3 linked regions of the Oryctolagus cuniculus genome follow. The protein of the gene in region 1 interacts with the protein of each later gene in a pairwise test. Links are inferred from orthologs where the notes say so. Each region holds a gene or a part of one and is shown in the gene's direction. Other genes may lie near its edges.

Region 1 (5,464 bases):
ATGTTCCAGCCCTGGGCCTGGACCTGGCAGGGCTCCGGCGCAGCTTAGGAGAGAGGGGAGAGGACACGAACTTTCTGTCCCCTGGTTTAAGTCGCTGAGAATCTGGGAACTCGGTCACCACAGCTTCCCTCTGGCCCTTATCCGGGGAGGCGGCAGAGGCCCAGAGAGGAGCAGCAAGCCCAAAGGCACACAGCGAGTTGGGGGCGGTGCCCACTCTGCCCCCAGGTTGCCCATCTTTGAGCCCCAGGACCCCTGGCTGTGCTGCCCCAAGCCCTCAGTGACTGTCACCCCTGCCCTTGCAGGACCTGGAAATCCACACCACCAGCAACTGCCTGCACTTCGTGTCCAGAGTGGGCACCCAGGTGAGAGGCCCGCCCACCCGAGGCCCTCTCACCTGGCGGCCTCCAGGGGAGCTCACCCTCTGGGCCCCTTCCCCACCCAGGTCCCCACCGACTCCCGGCAGCAGATCCTGCCTGGAGACGAGATCATCCAGATCAACGAGCAGGTGGTGGTGAGTGAGGACGCTGACGGCGTGGTGGGCACGCGGGGCAGGACGGGGAGAGAGGCAGCCGAGGCTCTGCCCCCCGGGGACAGCAGGGTGTGATGAGCCAGCCCAGGAGGTCGGAGGGCTGCTGCAGAGCCAAGGTGCAGGGGCTGATGGGGCTCCCTGGGGCAGAAGCAGGAGGCTCGGTGTGAGGGCAGGGGTGGAGGTGCTTCCGAGCCTCCTGCCCAGCGTCTCTGCCCCGGCCCCACCCCGTCCCCCAGGTGGCCTGGTCCCATAAGAACGTGCTGAGGGAGCTGCTGCGGCAGCCAGCGGGGGTCAGCTTGGTGCTGAAGAAGATCCCGGTGCCAGAGACGCCCCCGAAGGTACCTGCCTCCCCCGCGCTCCACCTGCTTTCAGGGCCTGTCATCAGCTCCGTCACCTGCTTCTCCTTGTTCCTCCAGACACCCCCTCAGGCTCTGGACTCGCCGCGCCTGGGAAGCCAGTCACCGACTCTGGCCCCGCTGTCTCCCAGGTGCCCGGTCTGCCCCGAGCACGCGGGGACGCGGCCTGCCTCATCTCCCCTTGCTCTCCTGCCCTGGGCACGCCTTGGTGGGGGCGCGGCCTGCCTCATCTCCCCTCGCTCTCCTGCCCTGGGCACGCCTTGGTGGGGGCGCGGCCTGCCTCATCTCCCCTCACTCTCCCCAGGGCCTCACCCAGAGATGCCTTTGCCTTTGACCTGACTTCAAACCCAAGTCCTGGGCCTACCCCTACCTCGACAGGTAGTTTCAAAGCCCTTTAGGTGGGGGATACCTGGAGCCAAGGCATCTGGGTTCCTCGCTGTGACCCCTCATTGTTGACATCACCTCCTGAATCCCCAGGCCTGGGACTGGGCTCACGAACCTTCTCCCTCTCTCCTCCCTCCTTGACAGATTCTACCTCCCTTGACCCTGAGCCGCTGCCTATCCCCTCTGAGCCCCCAGCCACAGTCCCGGCAGAGGTAGCAGAGACCCCAGGCCCCCCAGGATACCCTGACAAGGTGAGCTCAGGAGCTCAGCGGGGAGGGGTGCGGGCTCTGGACCCGCATCCTCCTCTAACCCCTGCATTGTCCTTTCAGAGTCCTGGCCTTGGTGGGAAGAAATCAAAAGGTATGAATGCCCCCAACACGGTGGGACCCCTTAGTGATGCTTACAGTGCTGGGCAAGACCCCCACCCTTCCCACAGTCTCCCTGGAAACAGGCACAGTTCTGGGTCTGGAGTCAGACAGACCTGGGCCCCCAGCCCACAGCTTATCCTCTGATCTGTGTCCTTGCCTTTGAAATGGGAAGTCACCCCCTCTTGAGATGACCGGGTGTAGGCTCAGGCCTCTCCGTTGGGGCTGCTTCTGGGAGGGCAAAGGAACAGGTCTGGGGGGCCAGAGGGCCTTGCCAGCCCCTCACCAGCCATGCCGTGCCGTGCTACTGCAGGCGTGGCGACAAGGCTGAGCCGCCGGCGGGTGTCCTGCCGGGAGCTGGGCCGGCCCGACTGTGACGGGTGGCTCCTGCTGCGCAAGACACCCAGTGGCTTCATGGGCCCACGCTGGCGCCGCTGCTGGTTTGTGCTCAAGGGACACACGCTCTACTGGTACTGCCAGCCCCAGGTGAGACACCCCCACCACCACCACACAGGTAAGCAAGTGGCTCACCTCAGGGCCTTGATTCTTATGTGTATTCTACCATCCACTCCCATCCACAGGCCCCGGTGTGCCCATCTGTAAAATGGGCATAATGGAGAGAAAGGAGCTAACACAGGTTGTAGAAGCAGTTTAGGAAAAGGCATCCCAGGAAGTACAGAGAAAGTCACTTTTATTCTGCCCATCTCTACGCCCCTTCTGACGTTCCGCCCATCCGAGTGATGGGCCATTCGTTTGCTCATTTATTCACTGAACAGACAGTCAGGTGCTTGCTGTGTATCCAGCTCTGGGCCAGTCATGGGGAGAATCGGGCAGTTCCTGCCCCTCCAGAACGGAAGAGTCTGGTGGGCCGTGGTAAACACACACTCATGGACCATACGGGGGTGCGTGTCCGATGAAGGAAAGCCAGGAGGGGCGTGCCCTGGAAGCTTCCTGGGAGAGCAGTTCTGGGGGTTTCAGATGAAAAGGGGCAAGAACCCAGCACTCAGGAAGCTCGGGGCAGGAGCAGCCCCGTGGGCATCTCCTGGGGACCAGGCAGAGGAGCAGACTCCGCTCTCACAGCTGCTGCCCTGGACGGCCTTGGCTCTGCCTTCCTGGCTTGGACACACCCTGTGACCATGCCTCCCTCCCTGAGCCCCAGGACTAGGGGCTTGTGGTTGGAGAGGCCAGCAGATGCCCCTGCAGGTCCTACCTGCCTGGGCCCTGAGGGTATCAGGGCCCCGGGCTGACCCTCATCTTGTGCCCACAGGATGAGAAGGCCGAGGGCCTCATCAATGTCTCCAACTATAGTCTGGAAAGTGGACATGATCAGAAGAAGAAATAGTTAAGTCCTGGGCTGTGATGGGCTGGGGGACAGGGAGGGACAGCAGACAGGTGCTGGTGCCGGGTAGGGAGGATGGGAGGCGGCTGGGGCCCCGGGAGGAGGCTGAGAGGGCCCCTCCCTGGCAGTGTGTTCCAGCTCACCCACGACGTGTACAAACCCTTCGTCTTCGCTGCTGACACCCTGTCGGATCTGAGCATGTGAGTGCCAGCCTCCCCCTCCAGTCCCATGTGCTCCCAGCCTCTGAGTACTGGTGAAGATACTTGGTTCTCTAAGCCTCAGTTTCTTCATCTATAAAATGGGCTGCTAAGAGTTCCTTCCTCTCATGGTTGCTCTGAGGATTGAATTGGACAATGTGGTAGTGGCGGGGGGGGGGGGGAGTGCTAGGCAAAGCCCTGGCACACAGTAGGGCCTCAGTGAATAGAAATTCTCTGAGGCCCAGCACTCCCCCACAGGTGGGTACGCCATCTCATCACCTGCATTTCCAAGTACCAGTCTCCAGGCCGACCCTCACCAGCCAGAGAGGAAGGTGGGTGGTTCCAGGGGAGAAACCTGGGTTTCACCTGAGCCTCTGCCTGTCCTGAGATGGGGCCTGGCAAACCCTGTGAGTCCCGACCCGTCCCTCCCCTGCAGACTGCTACAGTGAGACAGAAGCCGAGGACCCTGACGACGAGGCTGGGTCCCGCTCAGCCTCGGTGAGTGCGGACGACAGGGGGGCAGAGGTGGCGGGGGGGGGGGGGGGGGAGGGTGGGAATAGCAGGGCCTGAAGCTAGACTCACGCCCTCCACCGCTTCCACCCTGCCCACAGCCCAGCCCTGCACAATCTTGGAGTCCGCTGCACAGAGACACGTCACCGGCAACCACGCCCACACAGCGCAGCCCACGGAGCTCCTTCGGACCCCCAGCAGGTAGCCGGCTGAGCTGGGAGCTGGGATGGGACTGAGGGGCGGGGCAGGCACTTGCTCATCCCGCTCTCCCCTCCCACAGACAGCAGTGATGGGGCGCTGGAAGGAATGGTACGGGGGCTGAGGCAGGTCGGCGTGTCCCTCCTGGGCCAACCACAGCCCCTGACCCACGAGCAGTGGCGAAGCTCTTTCATGCGGCGCAACCGGGACCCCCAGCTCAATGAGCGAGTGCACCGCGTGCGAGCGCTCCAGAGCACACTCAAGGTCAGGGGGCCGCGCGGCAGGGACAAGGCTCTGGACTCTGGCTTTCTGACAAGGGCTCGGCCCTGGGCTCCGTGCTGCCATCTGGGCTCGGCTGCGGGCCGGGCCACGTTCTAGGTGCTGAGCTGGGGTCGGAAGTCCCACCCAGGTTCCCTGTGCCACACACCACACTCCAGCGTCAGGTCTGCACTCAGGCTCCGCTCTCCCCCTGGCTGATCACGGCCCCATAACCTCCTGTTCCCATCACAGGCAAAGCTGCAGGAGCTGCAGGCCCTGGAGGAAGTGCTGGGCGACCCCGAACTGACCGGAGAGAAGTTCCGCCGGTGGAAGGAGCAGAACCAGGAGCTGTACTCAGAGGGCCTGGGGGCCTGGGGGGTGACTCCGGCCTCTGTCCCCCTGCCCTCTGACCCTCAGGAGCACTCTCATCTCTGCCCCTTGACCCCAGACGGCACCCTCTGACCTCCCGACTTCTGACGGGGGCCACTGTCTAGCTCCTGCCCCTGATGAACACCTCAACCCCATCCTTGACCATCTGGAACAGCACATCTCTGGGTTCCATTCGAGGCTGGGGCGGTGCCGTCCACGGCCCCCCGCCCCAGGTGGAGTTCCCGCCATCTGCCCGTTGCTCCTGGAGTGGGGTACAGTGAAGTGAGCCTCATGCCGCCCTATCCTCCCCACCAAAGAAAGGACTCCCACCCCACCCAGGGCTGCTCTCCCTTCCCCAAGCCGGGCCTGTTCAGGTGACCTTGATTTCACGAGAGACACATTTCAGCCAAATAAAGCCACTTCCTCCAAGGTGAACACACATGTGCCTTCATTTCCGGTTTAGCACTGGAACTCTGGGCCGCAAGAGGGGGCCGCGGTGGAAGCCCTCAGGTGGGGACTCTGGGCCGCAGGACCGGTGACAGCCCCTTCACGGCCCTGGCGAGCACCTGAAGCCCCGAGCCTGCCGGGAGTGAGGAGTGGATTCTGACCCACAGCTCAGCTGGGCCCCTCATGACCTTCCCTCTCCGGACCTTCCAGGGCCAAGGTGCTGCCCACACATGGAAACTTAGAAATTTCCACCTTGTAGATGAAGAAGCCAACCTTGCACGGAAGCTGGGGTGGGAGGGAGGGCTGCTCGGGATTGAGCTCAGCCCTGGAGAAGGCCGTCGGGCAAAACCCACGGCCACGGTGCAGCCTCACCTCCGGCTCCCGGCTCCAGTGCAGGACGCGTCCCTATCCTCCATCCCTGTGCCGTGGGCCTGTGACCTCTGATCCCAGCCCAGTAGCCCAAGGCAGCCTGAGCTGCCTCTGCAGGGTAGGTGGGGCAGCTCTGGAATTCC
Region 2 (5,872 bases), on another chromosome or scaffold:
AATGGAGGGGTCAGCACTGTGGCGTAGCAGGTGAAGCCACTGCCTATGGTGCCAGCATCCCATATGGGCACCGGTTTGAGTCCTGGCTGCTCCACTTCCGATCTAGCTCTCTGCTATGGCCTGGGAAAGCAGAATATGGGCCCCTGCACCTGTGTGAGAGGACTGGAACAAGCTCCTGGTTCCTGGCTTCGGATCGGCCTGGCTCCAGCCATTGCAACTGTCTGAGGAGTGAACCAATGAATGGAAGACCTCTCTCTCTCTCTAACTCTGTCTTTCAAATAAATAAATCTTAAAAAAAAAAAAAAAAAAAAAAAAAAAAAAGAGGGGTCCATGGAAAATAGAATTAAAAGGTAAGTTTATGTTGGTGCAAAATTTTTTGAAGTCCATACCTATGTGGGGTCTTCAAAAGGTTTATGGAAAATGTATACTATGAAAAAACCATGGATTTAAAAATTTCTTGAACTTAGTCAGCATGCCATTAGCAGCTGACTCCTGCCAGCAGCCACAGGAACTGGCTTGGAGGTAGATCTTACCCCAGTCCAGCCATCAGAGGAGGCCACAGCCACCCTGCTGACGTGAGCTACATTGTGCCTAGCTAGATTCCTGACCCACACACACTGAAATAGGTGTTACTCCCTACATGAAGGGCAGTTTTTCTCTGCAGCAGTAGACAGCTTAAATGCAATCGGCAATGCATTTTGAACATCATCAGCCACCTGGTGTGATGCAGAGCGAGGAGTCCAGGGTCCACACACACCCTCAGTCCCACCGCGAGCTGGCGTGAGACAAGCCCATCCTGAAGCATTACAGAACAGTGGGAAGATGGAACCAGTGTGTAGTGAAGAGGTTCACACCGCTGTTGATTTCCTAGCTTTGAGGATTATTCCATGGCAGGGTTTCTCTGCTGTGGCAATGCTGACATTTGGGGTTGGGGAATTCTGAGCTGTGGGGAGCTGGCCCATGCCTTGCAGGATGTGCAGCAGTCTCCACAGCCTCTACCCACTAAATTGTCCCTTCCTCCCTTTGTGACAGCCATAACTGTCAAGACATCACCAGATGTCCCCTGGAGAACAAAACTGCTCCTAAGTGAAAACTTCCGTTCTGCTGTGTCAAATGCTATCCCATTTGCCAGCTGGGTGAAATCTATTTTTGCAACTCCAATTATCTTTTACAATTATTATGCTAAGATGTGCTTAAAAATGAGAACATTAAAAAGTTCTTCATTTTTTGTCATTTGACTTGTATCACCACTGGTAGTCAACATTTTAATGAATCTATAAATTTGCTGTGATATAAGCCTATAATACTTAACATATCTTAGCTGTAGGCTAGGAAGTGTTTTGAGTGCTTTATAGGGACCACTCCTTAACCATCGCATCAGACAGAAGAAGTGGTAGTATTGCTTCCTCCGACTTTGCAATCGGAGGACTTGAAGCACGGGGGTTCAGTAACTTGCTCGCACCCCCTCACCCCCAAGCAAGGTGGCTCCGCAGCGCCCTTGGCCTCCTACCTCGTCCTGCCTCTGTGTTTTCCCTGAGCCACGTCTCTGAGCCTCGATGTTGTTAAGGGGCACCCATGTGGGTGCAGGGACTATAATCCGCTGTCTTCCCAGGTGCATTAGCTGGAAGCCAGATCAGAAGTGGAGGAGCTAGGTCTGGAACTGGCACACCGATAAAGCGCTCCCTTGTTCACCTGCAGCCCTTGGCACTCCCGGCCACCCCCGCAGCAGCTCATGCTTCTCCCACCTGCGCCTCCTCTCGCGCTCTCCTCGCCAGGGAGGAGGAAGCAGCCAGAGTGAGAGGAAATAAGTAGATTCCAAAGGGCCCGCGGGGGGAAAATGGTTTAGCCCAGCGAGGCCGGGTTGGCTTTGGACATCTGGAAGAAGCAGGTGGGAAGAGGGAGGCTGGAGAAGCCAAACTTAGGCTTCGGGCACTGAGCTGCTCGTCACCAAGGCAACTGCGTTGTTATGGCAACAGCACGGGTACCACCGCCTCCTCCTCCCACAAGTAACCTGCACAGCGGCCAGACGCTTCCGCATGAGGGTCGTGCGGCCTTCCGGGAACGGCTCGGGCAGGCGGGAACTGCTGCCCCGGCAGCCAATCAATAAGCTCTATCCTGTCGGGTCGGGTTCCGCCCGCCAAGAGCGCCAAGAAGGGGGTTGGGACTTTTTTCGCTCTCGCCAAAGGGCGTTGAGAAGGGCGGTCTCGAGTCTCTAATCCACCACTTAGGAGCCAAGGAGAGGAGAGGGGCGGGGCCTGAGTGAGCCCGACTAGGGGCCGGGTACCAGTGTAACGTGGGGGGATCCGCCCACTCTCGCTTCTGCCCAGTAGCAAGACGGAGAGCTCATCCTGACGGTTGGAATGTCCAATGAGCGTCGCTGCCAGGCCCCGGTGCGGAGAACGCCGAGCCAATGGGCAGCGTCGGTGGGCGGGCGCGGGTGACAGGCGGCGCGGCGGAGGCGGAGCGGGCGCTGCGGCAGGAGGGAAGATGGCGGACGAGGAGAAGCTGCCGCCCGGCTGGGAGAAGCGCATGAGCCGCAGCTCAGGTGCCGCGGGGATCGGGGCCGGGGCAGGGCCGCGCGGGCCCACGGAAGCAGGGCGCGAGCTCTGCCCTCGAGCGCGGAGGAGCCCCCCGCTTCCGTCCCGTGAGGTCTGGGCTCCTCCGCGTCGCCCTCGGAGTAACGGCGCCGGCCCGCCCCCGTGGAGGGCTGCAAGGCTCAGGAGCCGGGAGGAAACTGAGGCAGGGGGCGGGGCGGGGGAGGGGCCGGGGAGGCCGCGGCGCTCCCTGAGGCGGCGGCACTGAGTCTGCCAGCCCGGCTGTCTGCAGCCAGCACGGGCCTGCTGCACCTGTCGCTCTGCGGGGAGCTGGGCCCGGGGCACTCCCTGGGGAGGGGGATACCCCTCACCGAGCAGAGAGGCGTGGCACACACACCTGCCGGCCACACCTCTTCCTGAGTCTGCTTGGAGCCCAATCGAAAGCTTGGCCCCGTTAGGTGTGCACCCCGCATCGTGTTTTTAGTTCTCTGAGAATTGCCGCACGTCTGGGAGATGGGTCGTTGGTGCGCCCATTTTACAAGTGGGGACGCTGAGGCCAGGAAGTGGAAGGATGTCTTCCAAGATCGTGCATTTCAGGGGGGTTGGAGCCGGCTTGGAACCCAGTCTGCCTGCTCCAGGGCCCCTGGCGCTTTTCCTGTGTCACCGCGAGCGCCCGAGGAGCTGGCCCGGCTTCTCTGAGTAGGTCTAGGGTCCCTCTGCCGCCCCTGGAGCCCGCAGTGGCCACAGTCGAAGTAATAGTCCTTGTGTGTCGACCCAGGGGAGGTTTGATGGTGTTGATTCGCTCACCCCCATTTTGCAGATGAGTAAAACTGAGGCTCGGGGAGATAAGGCCCACAGACAGCATCTTAGCCTCAGTGGGTGGCTCAGCTGGATTTGTTGCTGGAACCCCCCGATCCCCTGTGTTATTTTTTCTTCCCTGAAGTTAGCAGTCATTGGGGTTCTCTTGTTGTCGTCTTTGCTGGTTTGGAGCCTGTCTTCCCCCACTGAGCATGTGAGCCCCCTCAGTACAGGGGCTGTGCGCTGCCGTGTCCGCCCGTGGCGCAGGGTGGACACGCGATGGGTTTGCTGCCCTCCCCGCAGGCCGGGTGTACTACTTCAACCACATCACGAACGCCAGCCAGTGGGAGCGCCCCAGCGGCAACAGCAGCAGCGGTGGAGGCAAAATCGGGCAGGGGGAGCCGGCGCGTGTCCGCTGCTCGCACCTGCTCGTCAAACACAGCCAGTCCCGGCGGCCCTCGTCCTGGCGGCAGGAGAAGATCACCCGGACCAAGGAGGAGGCCCTGGAGCTGATCAACGGTGAGCAGGGGCTCTCGGGCCGGGATCCTCTCCACTTCTGCTCTCCCTGCTCTGAGGCTCGCCGACTCCAGGAGGAAGAGGGCGTTTGGAGGTAGAGCTGCAGGAGTTCCTGCCAGAGGGAACTTGGGAAGAGGCTCATCCTGGGCGGGGCCCTTTAAATCCTGGGGGCTGGGGGCGGAACTTGGGGAGGCAGCCGGACGCAGGTCTGGGTTCAGCAGAGCAGGGAGGCCAAAAGGACATGTGGGGTGATCCGGGTAAGGTGGCAGGAGGCTGAGCGGCCTTCCCAGCTCTGGGTCGGTGCTGCGGTGGGGCTGCACTCACCAGCTTGGGTCTTAGGAAGGGATAGACCATGAGCAGGTGGGCCCGGGCCCGCTCTTCCGTAGGTGGAGATTTGGGGATGTCAGCAGGCTGCCAGCGCGGGGGGGGGGGGGGGGGGCCTGTGGAGGCTGTGGGAGAGATTGCAGGCAGAGGCAGTGTGGCTCGAGCCTGGGGTGGGCCGAGGGTGGAAATGAGGGGGAGGCGGATTCTAGAGAGATTCAGGAGACAGACTTGGGAGGATGCAGGGGTGTGTGAAGTGGGCGAGGCTCTGCTTGGGAGGCCCACCACACCCTGGGCTCCTCAGGACTGGGGTCTTGTGCCAGCTGTGTGTCCTGGAGCAGCTGTGTTCTCTGAGCCTCGGTGGCTGCCTCTGTAGGCTGGGCGCGTGTCCCCATGAAGAGCCGGGAGCCGTGGGCTCGGTGTCTGGGGCTTGACCCCAGTCCTTGAGGCATATGCATGGGGGAGCTGAGGTCGAGGGAAGGCCTGGGCTCATGGGCTGCTTCTCTGGAAAGATCTCTGGGCCTGGACACGGGCGGTCTGGTGGGCTCAGCATAGACCCTCTGGTGACCTTGGACTGCGACCTTCTCTGACTTCAGTGTCGTCCTGCTCGAGGTGGGACTGGTGCAGGACCCTCAGAGGTTGCTAGGAGGCCGTGGTGAGCCGGCCTTGGCTGTGGCGCACTCAGTAACCAGACATCCTGTGTGTTTTCCACAAGCCTTGGGTGCCTGGGCCTTGTCCTGTGTGTGCAGGTGACTGCTCCCCCGGTCTGGCTGTGTTCCAGAGGATCAGGAGTCGATGGTTTGGCCAGCGCCCTCCCCAGCTGGCAGCCTGGGCCCACACGAGTCTCCTCAGTGCCCACTGGGACCCGGTGCTGCCCCGGGAGACGCGTCTGCAGCGAGAATCAGCGCCTCCACCTCTCTGCAGAGGCTCCTCTTCCCAGCATCAGCTCCTCTGCAGCTGCTGGGCTGCCGCCAGGGGCTGTCAGGAATCCGAGGCCCGCCCAGTGTCACTGTTGGTGTCCTTGCCTGAAGCGGCCAGCCAGGGGGAGCCATCCCTGCCTGTTTCCCGTCCCTCCATGCCTGTGTGCCCAGGGTCCCAGGGAGGCCCCGACCTGAGGATCCCCCACCCAGGGAGGGCCAGTGGTCCTAGGCTGGGCCTCTGGGCCCCTTGCTGGATCTTAGGTCTTCTGGGGACATAATCCTGACTTCTTTCCCTGCCCAGGCCCCTTCCCCTTTGGTGCCTGGGTGCCATTGGACTAGAAGCAGCTTATTGAGTTGTAGGGCAGGGCAGGGAGTTTGTCCCTAAACCTTTTTGGGATTAGGCACCCCTCTGTCTGTTCACTCATGTTCCCTTGGATGGTTACAGTGATCTGTTAGCTTGGGCTCCATAATAAAATACCACAGACTGAGGCCGGCGCCGCTGCTCACTAGGCTAATCCTCCGCCTAGCGGCGCCGGCACACCGGGTTCTAGTCCCGGTCGGGGCGCCGGATTCTGTCCCGGTTGCCCCTCTTCCAGGCCAGCCCTCTGCTGTGGCCAGGGAGTGCAGTGGAGGATGGCCCAGGTGCTTGAGCCCTGCACCCCATGGGAGACCAGGAAAAGCACCTGGCTCCTGGCTCCTGCCATTGGATCAGCGCGGTGCGCCGGCCGCGGCGGCCATTGGAGGGTGAACCAACGGCAAAGGAAGACCTTTCTCTCTGTCTCT
Region 3 (5,772 bases), on another chromosome or scaffold:
ACGTCCGTCGACAGGTTGCTCCCTGGCATGGCGTGGTAAGACCTCATTTGGTTTACCAATGTCCCCAGCACCTAGGCCATTGCCTGCTAGGGTTTTGGTGCTCAGATATCCTTTGAATGAGTGGGTGAGCGTCTACTGGGTTCCAGCCTTGCACTAATGCCAGCCGGGGGGTCGGGGGGTAGAATGATAAACAGGAAACACAACCTCCTCGCCTCCACATCACTCAGAGGGCAGGGCGGAGGGGCCGTGCGGGAGGCACCAGTGACTGAAGCGAGCCCTGGCCCCTTCCCTCTGCGCTCTGTAGGAAACGCCATCTGACGTGTGGCTCTTCTCTGAAAGGTTCCCAGGTCGTAGGCACTGCCAAGATACTCGTGGTCCACAGGCCAGGCCCGGCCCCAGACAGTGACTCCCTTGTCGGTGTGCGGTCTTTTGGCACAGTCAGGGGCTCCGGGTCCCATGTCTTTGCATTGGGCAGGTAATTCACGACAGTCCCTCCTTAGGGAAGTCGGGGGGCCGACGCCCGGGTCCTGGTCCTTTGGCTGCAGAAGCCCATGTTATTTGGATGTTCGTGAGCACGCGTGGATTAACCTGGAATCTGGATCCAGCTCTGAGAGGTCCGGGGCTGTGGAAAGTCGCTCAGCCTGTGGGGCCACAGCTCGGGAGAAGAGGGTATCGTACCCCTCTGGTGTTTCAGTCCCCCCAAGTGTCCCGGCTCCGTCAGCTCTGTTCTCACCCCTGGGCCCTGTTGGTGGTGCCTGTCCCTTACGGAGGGACAGCAGTCACCCTGGACTGAGAGCTGGGCCAGTCTCCGCCCCGCCCCGCCCGGGATGGAGCTTGGCTTCTCCCTCCCTCTCTCCAGGAGGGGAAGGGACCCTGAGGGAGGAGGCAGAGGAGGGGCCGTGTGGGGGCCATGTTGAACAGTTCTTATGGCTTCCCTGGTGCTGCTCTTGTCTTCCCACACCTGTGATGTTCTCGCCAATGCCCCTTCTCTATTGTTTAAATGTATTTGAAAGGCAGAGTGACAGAGAGACATGAACCTCTGCTGGTTCATTCCCAAAATGCCCAGAGCAGTCAGGGCTGGCCAGGCCGAAGCCAGGCGCTCCATGCAGGTCTCTCACATGTGTGGCAGGGACCCAAGGACTCGAGCCGTCTCCGGCTGTCTCCCAGGGTGCACATCAGCAGGAAGCGGAATCTGAACCCAGGCACTCCCGCGTGGGCTGTAGGCATCTTAACGCTGCCCCGGACACTGCCCGGGGCCTTCGTGAGTCTGCCCCGTGGGCCCCTCGGATCCGGAGCCTGACGGAAAGGCCCACGGGTAGTTCTGTTTGCTCCTGAGTGCCAGCGGCTCCAACTGTGGGACTCAGGCTCTGCTGCTGAAGGCACCGGCTTTCCGACCTGGGATGCTCAGGAGACGGGGAGGCTGAGCCTGGAAGGGCCACAGCCGAGCCCAGGAGGAGGGAGGGTTAGGACCAGACCCACCTGACCCCCGCCGTCCCCCTTCTTCCTGCAGAGGCTGAAGTACGAAATCGCCGAGGTGATGACCGAGATCGACAGCCTGACGTCTGTGGAGGAGAGGTAAACCCCAGGGCCGCCTGCGCCCGCTCATCCCATTCCCCAACCTCCAGGCGCAGCGGGTGCCGCTTCCCAGCCCAGCAGGAAGCACGGGCGCTGGGAGGTGACCTGCCCAGAGCAGCTTTCCACCAGCCTAAAGGGGCCGTGCTTTTAAACCCACGGCTTTCTCTGTTAGCTTCTCCCGGGAAAGTGGGTCCCAGTTGTCTGCTTCCAGGTGGTGGCTCGCGCCGGAGGGAGGGGGCGGCGTGGGCGTGCCGAGGGCCATGACGCCACCCTGGGCGCCGCCACCGAAGTCCGTGTTCTCTGGAAACACTGCTGACCGTCTCTAATTATGTCAAACGCACAGCAAAACCACTCAAAGGAACAAGCAAATCGCTATGGGAAGAAAGAAGTTCAACATGGATCCCAAAAAGGTGAGAGGAACCTCGTTCCCTGGCACACACAGGTCGAGTAATTTATAGCGGTTTGGACAGAGGTGCTCAGACTGGGAGCTGATGGCAACTCTTTATTGAGAAGGGGGCTGCTCAGGACTGCGGTGGAGCTCGGAGCTCCGAGCTCCAGCGTCCTGTGAGCTGGCCCCCAGGGAGGCCTCCCCCACCCCTGCATCCCATCAGCCTGCCCCCAGGGAGGCCTCCCCAACCCCTGCATCCCATCAGCCCGCCCCCAGGGAGGCCTCCCCGCCCCCCATCCCATGAGCAGCCCCCAGGGAGGCCCCCCCATCCCATGAGCAGCCCCCAGGGAGGCCTCCCCCACCCCTGCATCCCATCAGCCTGCCCCCAGGGAGGCCTCCCCAACCCCTGCATCCCATCAGCCCGCCCCCAGGGAGGCCTCCCCGCCCCCCATCCCATGAGCAGCCCCCAGGGAGGCCCCCCCATCCCATGAGCTGCCCCCAGGGAGGCCCCCCCATCCCATGAGCCGCCCCCAGGGAGGCCCCCCCCATCCCATGAGCCGCCCCCAGGGAGGCCTTCCCCCACCCCTGCATCCCATGAGCCCGCCCCCGGGAGGCCTCCCCGCCCCCCATCCCATGAGCCGCCCCCAGGGAGGCCCCCCCCATCCCATGAGCCGCCCCCAGGGAGGCCTCCCCCCCCCATCCCATGAGCAGCCCCCAGGGAGGCCCCCCCATCCCATGAGCCGCCCCCAGGGAGGCCTCCCCACCCCCCATCCCATGAGCTGCCCCCAGGGAGGCCTCCCCCATCCCATGAGCAGCCCCCAGGGAGGCCTCCCCCCCAATCCCATGAGCCGCCCCCAGGGAGGCCTCCCCCACCCCTGCATCCCATCAGCCCGCCCCCAGGGAGGCCTCCCTCCCCGCGGAGCTGAGTGAGGACAGTGCCGCTCGCAGAGGCTTCAGGGGAGCCTGCAGAGCCCTTGCTCCGTGGGGTGCTGCCCCTCGGTCTCCCGCCCTGAGCCCTGCAGCCCGGGAGCAGAGCTGGGAGCGGGACCCGTGTGTGCCGTGTGTACGGGCCTTGTCGTCTGGGGAGTGGTGCACAGCTGGAGGAGGAGCACCTCGCTGCCCCTGCTCCCTGGAAGGGCTTCTGTGGGAAGAGCAGGGCTCTCCACACTGAGCGCTCTCGGATCGTGGCTCACATTAGAGTTTGCGGGAAGACGCCGAACACAGAGAGCCTGCAGTGTGGGGCTGCACGGAAGGACTTGGCAAAGTCCACAGAGGGAGGCCGCGACTCAGTTGTAATGTGGGTGGTTTGTTTTTTCCCCGTTTTTAAGATTGATTGACTGATGTGGAAGACAGAGTTAGAGGTGGGGGCGAGGGAGAGATCTTCCATCCTCTGGTTCACTCCCCAAGAGGCTGCAACAAGCTGGGCTGGGCTGGGCTGAAGCCAGGAACCCGGAACTCCGTCTGGGGTCTCCCGCGTGAGTGGCAGGGCCCAAGCACTGGGCTGACTTTCACTGCCTTCCCAGGCACATCAACCGGGAGCTGGATCGGAAGTGGGGCAGCCAGGATTCGAACCAGCGCCCATGTGGGATGCCAGCATAGCAGGTGGCAGCTTTACCCCCTGTGCCACAGCACCCACGCCCATTTTGTTTTTTTTTTTTTATTTTTTATTTTTTTGACAGGCAGAGTGGACAGTGAGAGAGAGAGACAGAGAGAAAGGTCTTCCTTTTGCCGTTGGTTCACTCTCCAATGGCCGCCGTGGCTGGTGCACTGCGGCTGGCACATCGCACTGATCCGATGGCAGGATCCAGGTACTTATCCTGGTCTCCCATGGGGTGCAGGGCCCAAGCACCTGGGCCATCCTCCACTGCACTCCCTGGCCACAGCAGAGAGCTGGCCTGGAAGGGGGGCAACTGGGAAAGAATCCGGCTCCCTGACCGGGACTAGAACCCGGTGTGCCAGCGCCGCAAGGCAGAGGATTAGCCTAGTGAGCCACGGCGCCAGCCTCATTTTGGTTTTGAGAAAGGAGAGAGGGCCTGAGTCTGCCACAGGCTGGTGGCTGAGGGGAGGAAGGCATGTCTTCATGGGAGACGCCGCACGGCGCGGCTCAGTCCCTGCTGCCTGTGGTAAAGATTTATTTATTTGACAGGCAGAGTTAGAGAGGCAGAGGCAGAGAGAGAGACGTCTTCCATCCATTGGTTCACTTCCCAAATGGCCTCAACGGCTGGAGCTGGGCTGGTCTGAAGCCAGGAGCTTCTTCCAGGTCTCCCACGTGGGTGCAGGGCCCGAGGACTTGGGCCATCTTCCACTGCTTTCCCAGGCCACAGCAGAGAGCTGGATCGGAAGTGGAGCAGCCAGAATTTGAACCGCTGCCCATATGGGATGCCGGCGCCGCAGGCAGCAGCTTTACCTGCTCTTCCACAGTGCTGGCTCTGGTGTTCACTGCTAACTTTGTCCTTGTTTTTCTGATGCTGAGCCTCTATGCTAATTAATTAGTTAATTATTTGCTCATTGAGTAAATGTTTGTTGATTGTAGGAATTACACTGTGTCAGGTCTTGGGTCTGCAGAAATACATTTCTCAGTACCGTGCAGTTGCAGCTGACTTTTGAAGAGATGTTTATTATTTCCTGTTTGCAAAACTGGATTTCCTTGGGGCACAGCGCCGGTGCAGCTGGAGGAGGGCTTTAGTTTAACCAGCGTGCTCGGCCGCTGTGGACATTTTCCAGTCACACCCCAGTCCTCTTCCTCTGTGGCGTACGTCCAGTCCAGAATGGAAGGAACATGACTGAGAACAGCGCTGTGCATTGGATCATGGCTGTCATTTAGATCCCAGCCGTGGTGTTCTCCAGAGCCCCACGTGGTACAGGCTCCGCCCAGGCTGGCTCTTGGAGACTTGATCCAATTACAGAGTTAGGGGAGGGGGTGAGCCTCAGGGAGGTCCCAGGTCACTGGCAAGGCCCTTGGAAGACAGCTCCGGCCCAGCTGCTTTCTGTCTGCTGCCTGCTCTCCCTGGGGTCCTCTGCTGCTCCCTTTCCACCCTCTGCTGCCCTGTCAAGACACCAGACCCGCGGGGGCCACTGGATCCGGACCTGGGAGCTCCAGAACCGCAAGCCCAAAGTAAACCTTTTCTCTCCATCGTTAGCTTGTATCGGGATTTGTTACAGGAAAGAGACGCTCACTCATACAATGCTGGTTCCATATTTGAGGTTGGTGACCATTGCTTTTTTCTTTGGAGCTGAGTTTACACAGTAGAATTATCACAATACAAGGCAGCATCTCGGGGCTGGTGCTGTGGCGTAGCGGGTAAAGCCGCCGCCTGCAGTGCCCACATCCCATATGGACATCAGTTCAAGTTCCGGCTGCTCCGCTTCCGATCCAGCTCTCTGCTGTGGCCTGGGAAAGCAGTAGAAGATGGCCCTAGTCCTTGGGCCCCTGCCCCGGCATGGGAAACTTGGAAGAAGCTCCTGGCTTCAGATCGGCCGAGCTCTGGCCATGTGGCCATCTGGGGAGTGATCAGCAAATGGAAGACCTCTCTCTGCCTCTGCCTCTGCCTCTGCCTCTCTGTAACTCTACCTTTCAAATAAATAAATAAGTAAGGCAACATCTCAGAATGTTTACAAAAGTGGATGCTTTTAACGCTGAACCTTTTTTTTTTTTTTTAAATTATTTTATTTGAAAGGGAGAGAAGGATGGAGAGGCGGACTGACAGATCTTCCAACTGCTGGTTCACTCTCCAAGTACCCCTAGACTTGGGTTTTAAAGGGACCCAAGTGCAGCACGGGGCAGCCCGACTGAAAGGTCAAGGATAAAT

The links.
Region 2: the proteins of CNKSR1 (region 1) and PIN1 interact in binary tests that used the Homo sapiens proteins (3 or more experiments, as listed by UniProt). The two-hybrid records come from large-scale screens. The link is inferred for Oryctolagus cuniculus from reciprocal best matches to the Homo sapiens genes CNKSR1 and PIN1.
Region 3: the proteins of CNKSR1 (region 1) and CYTH3 interact in binary tests that used the Homo sapiens proteins (3 or more experiments, as listed by UniProt). The two-hybrid records come from large-scale screens. The link is inferred for Oryctolagus cuniculus from reciprocal best matches to the Homo sapiens genes CNKSR1 and CYTH3.

What each region holds. Positions count from the first base shown.
Region 1 is NC_091438.1:145,272,087-145,277,550, reverse strand, and holds the end of CNKSR1 (connector enhancer of kinase suppressor of ras 1), read left to right. Parts: intron 1-302; coding exon 303-362; intron 363-442; coding exon 443-511; exon of another isoform or gene 512-603; coding exon of another isoform or gene 604-645; intron 646-765; coding exon 766-867; intron 868-945; coding exon 946-1,016; intron 1,017-1,189; coding exon 1,190-1,263; intron 1,264-1,413; coding exon 1,414-1,520; intron 1,521-1,598; coding exon 1,599-1,629; intron 1,630-1,947; coding exon 1,948-2,120; intron 2,121-2,901; coding exon 2,902-2,975; intron 2,976-3,101; coding exon 3,102-3,173; intron 3,174-3,428; coding exon 3,429-3,502; intron 3,503-3,606; coding exon 3,607-3,668; intron 3,669-3,781; coding exon 3,782-3,881; intron 3,882-3,960; coding exon 3,961-4,142; intron 4,143-4,388; coding exon 4,389-4,598; 3' UTR 4,599-4,940; downstream 4,941-5,464. UniProt on the Homo sapiens protein: May function as an adapter protein or regulator of Ras signaling pathways.
Region 2 is NC_091447.1:67,377,038-67,382,909, reverse strand, and holds the start of PIN1 (peptidyl-prolyl cis-trans isomerase NIMA-interacting 1), read left to right. Parts: upstream 1-2,390; 5' UTR 2,391-2,487; coding exon 2,488-2,545; intron 2,546-3,635; coding exon 3,636-3,851; intron 3,852-5,872. UniProt on the Homo sapiens protein: Peptidyl-prolyl cis/trans isomerase (PPIase) that binds to and isomerizes specific phosphorylated Ser/Thr-Pro (pSer/Thr-Pro) motifs.
Region 3 is NC_091450.1:40,267,034-40,272,805, forward strand, and holds part of CYTH3 (cytohesin-3), read left to right. Parts: intron 1-1,510; coding exon 1,511-1,575; intron 1,576-1,918; coding exon 1,919-1,985; intron 1,986-5,772. UniProt on the Homo sapiens protein: Promotes guanine-nucleotide exchange on ARF1 and ARF6. Promotes the activation of ARF factors through replacement of GDP with GTP. Plays a role in the epithelial polarization.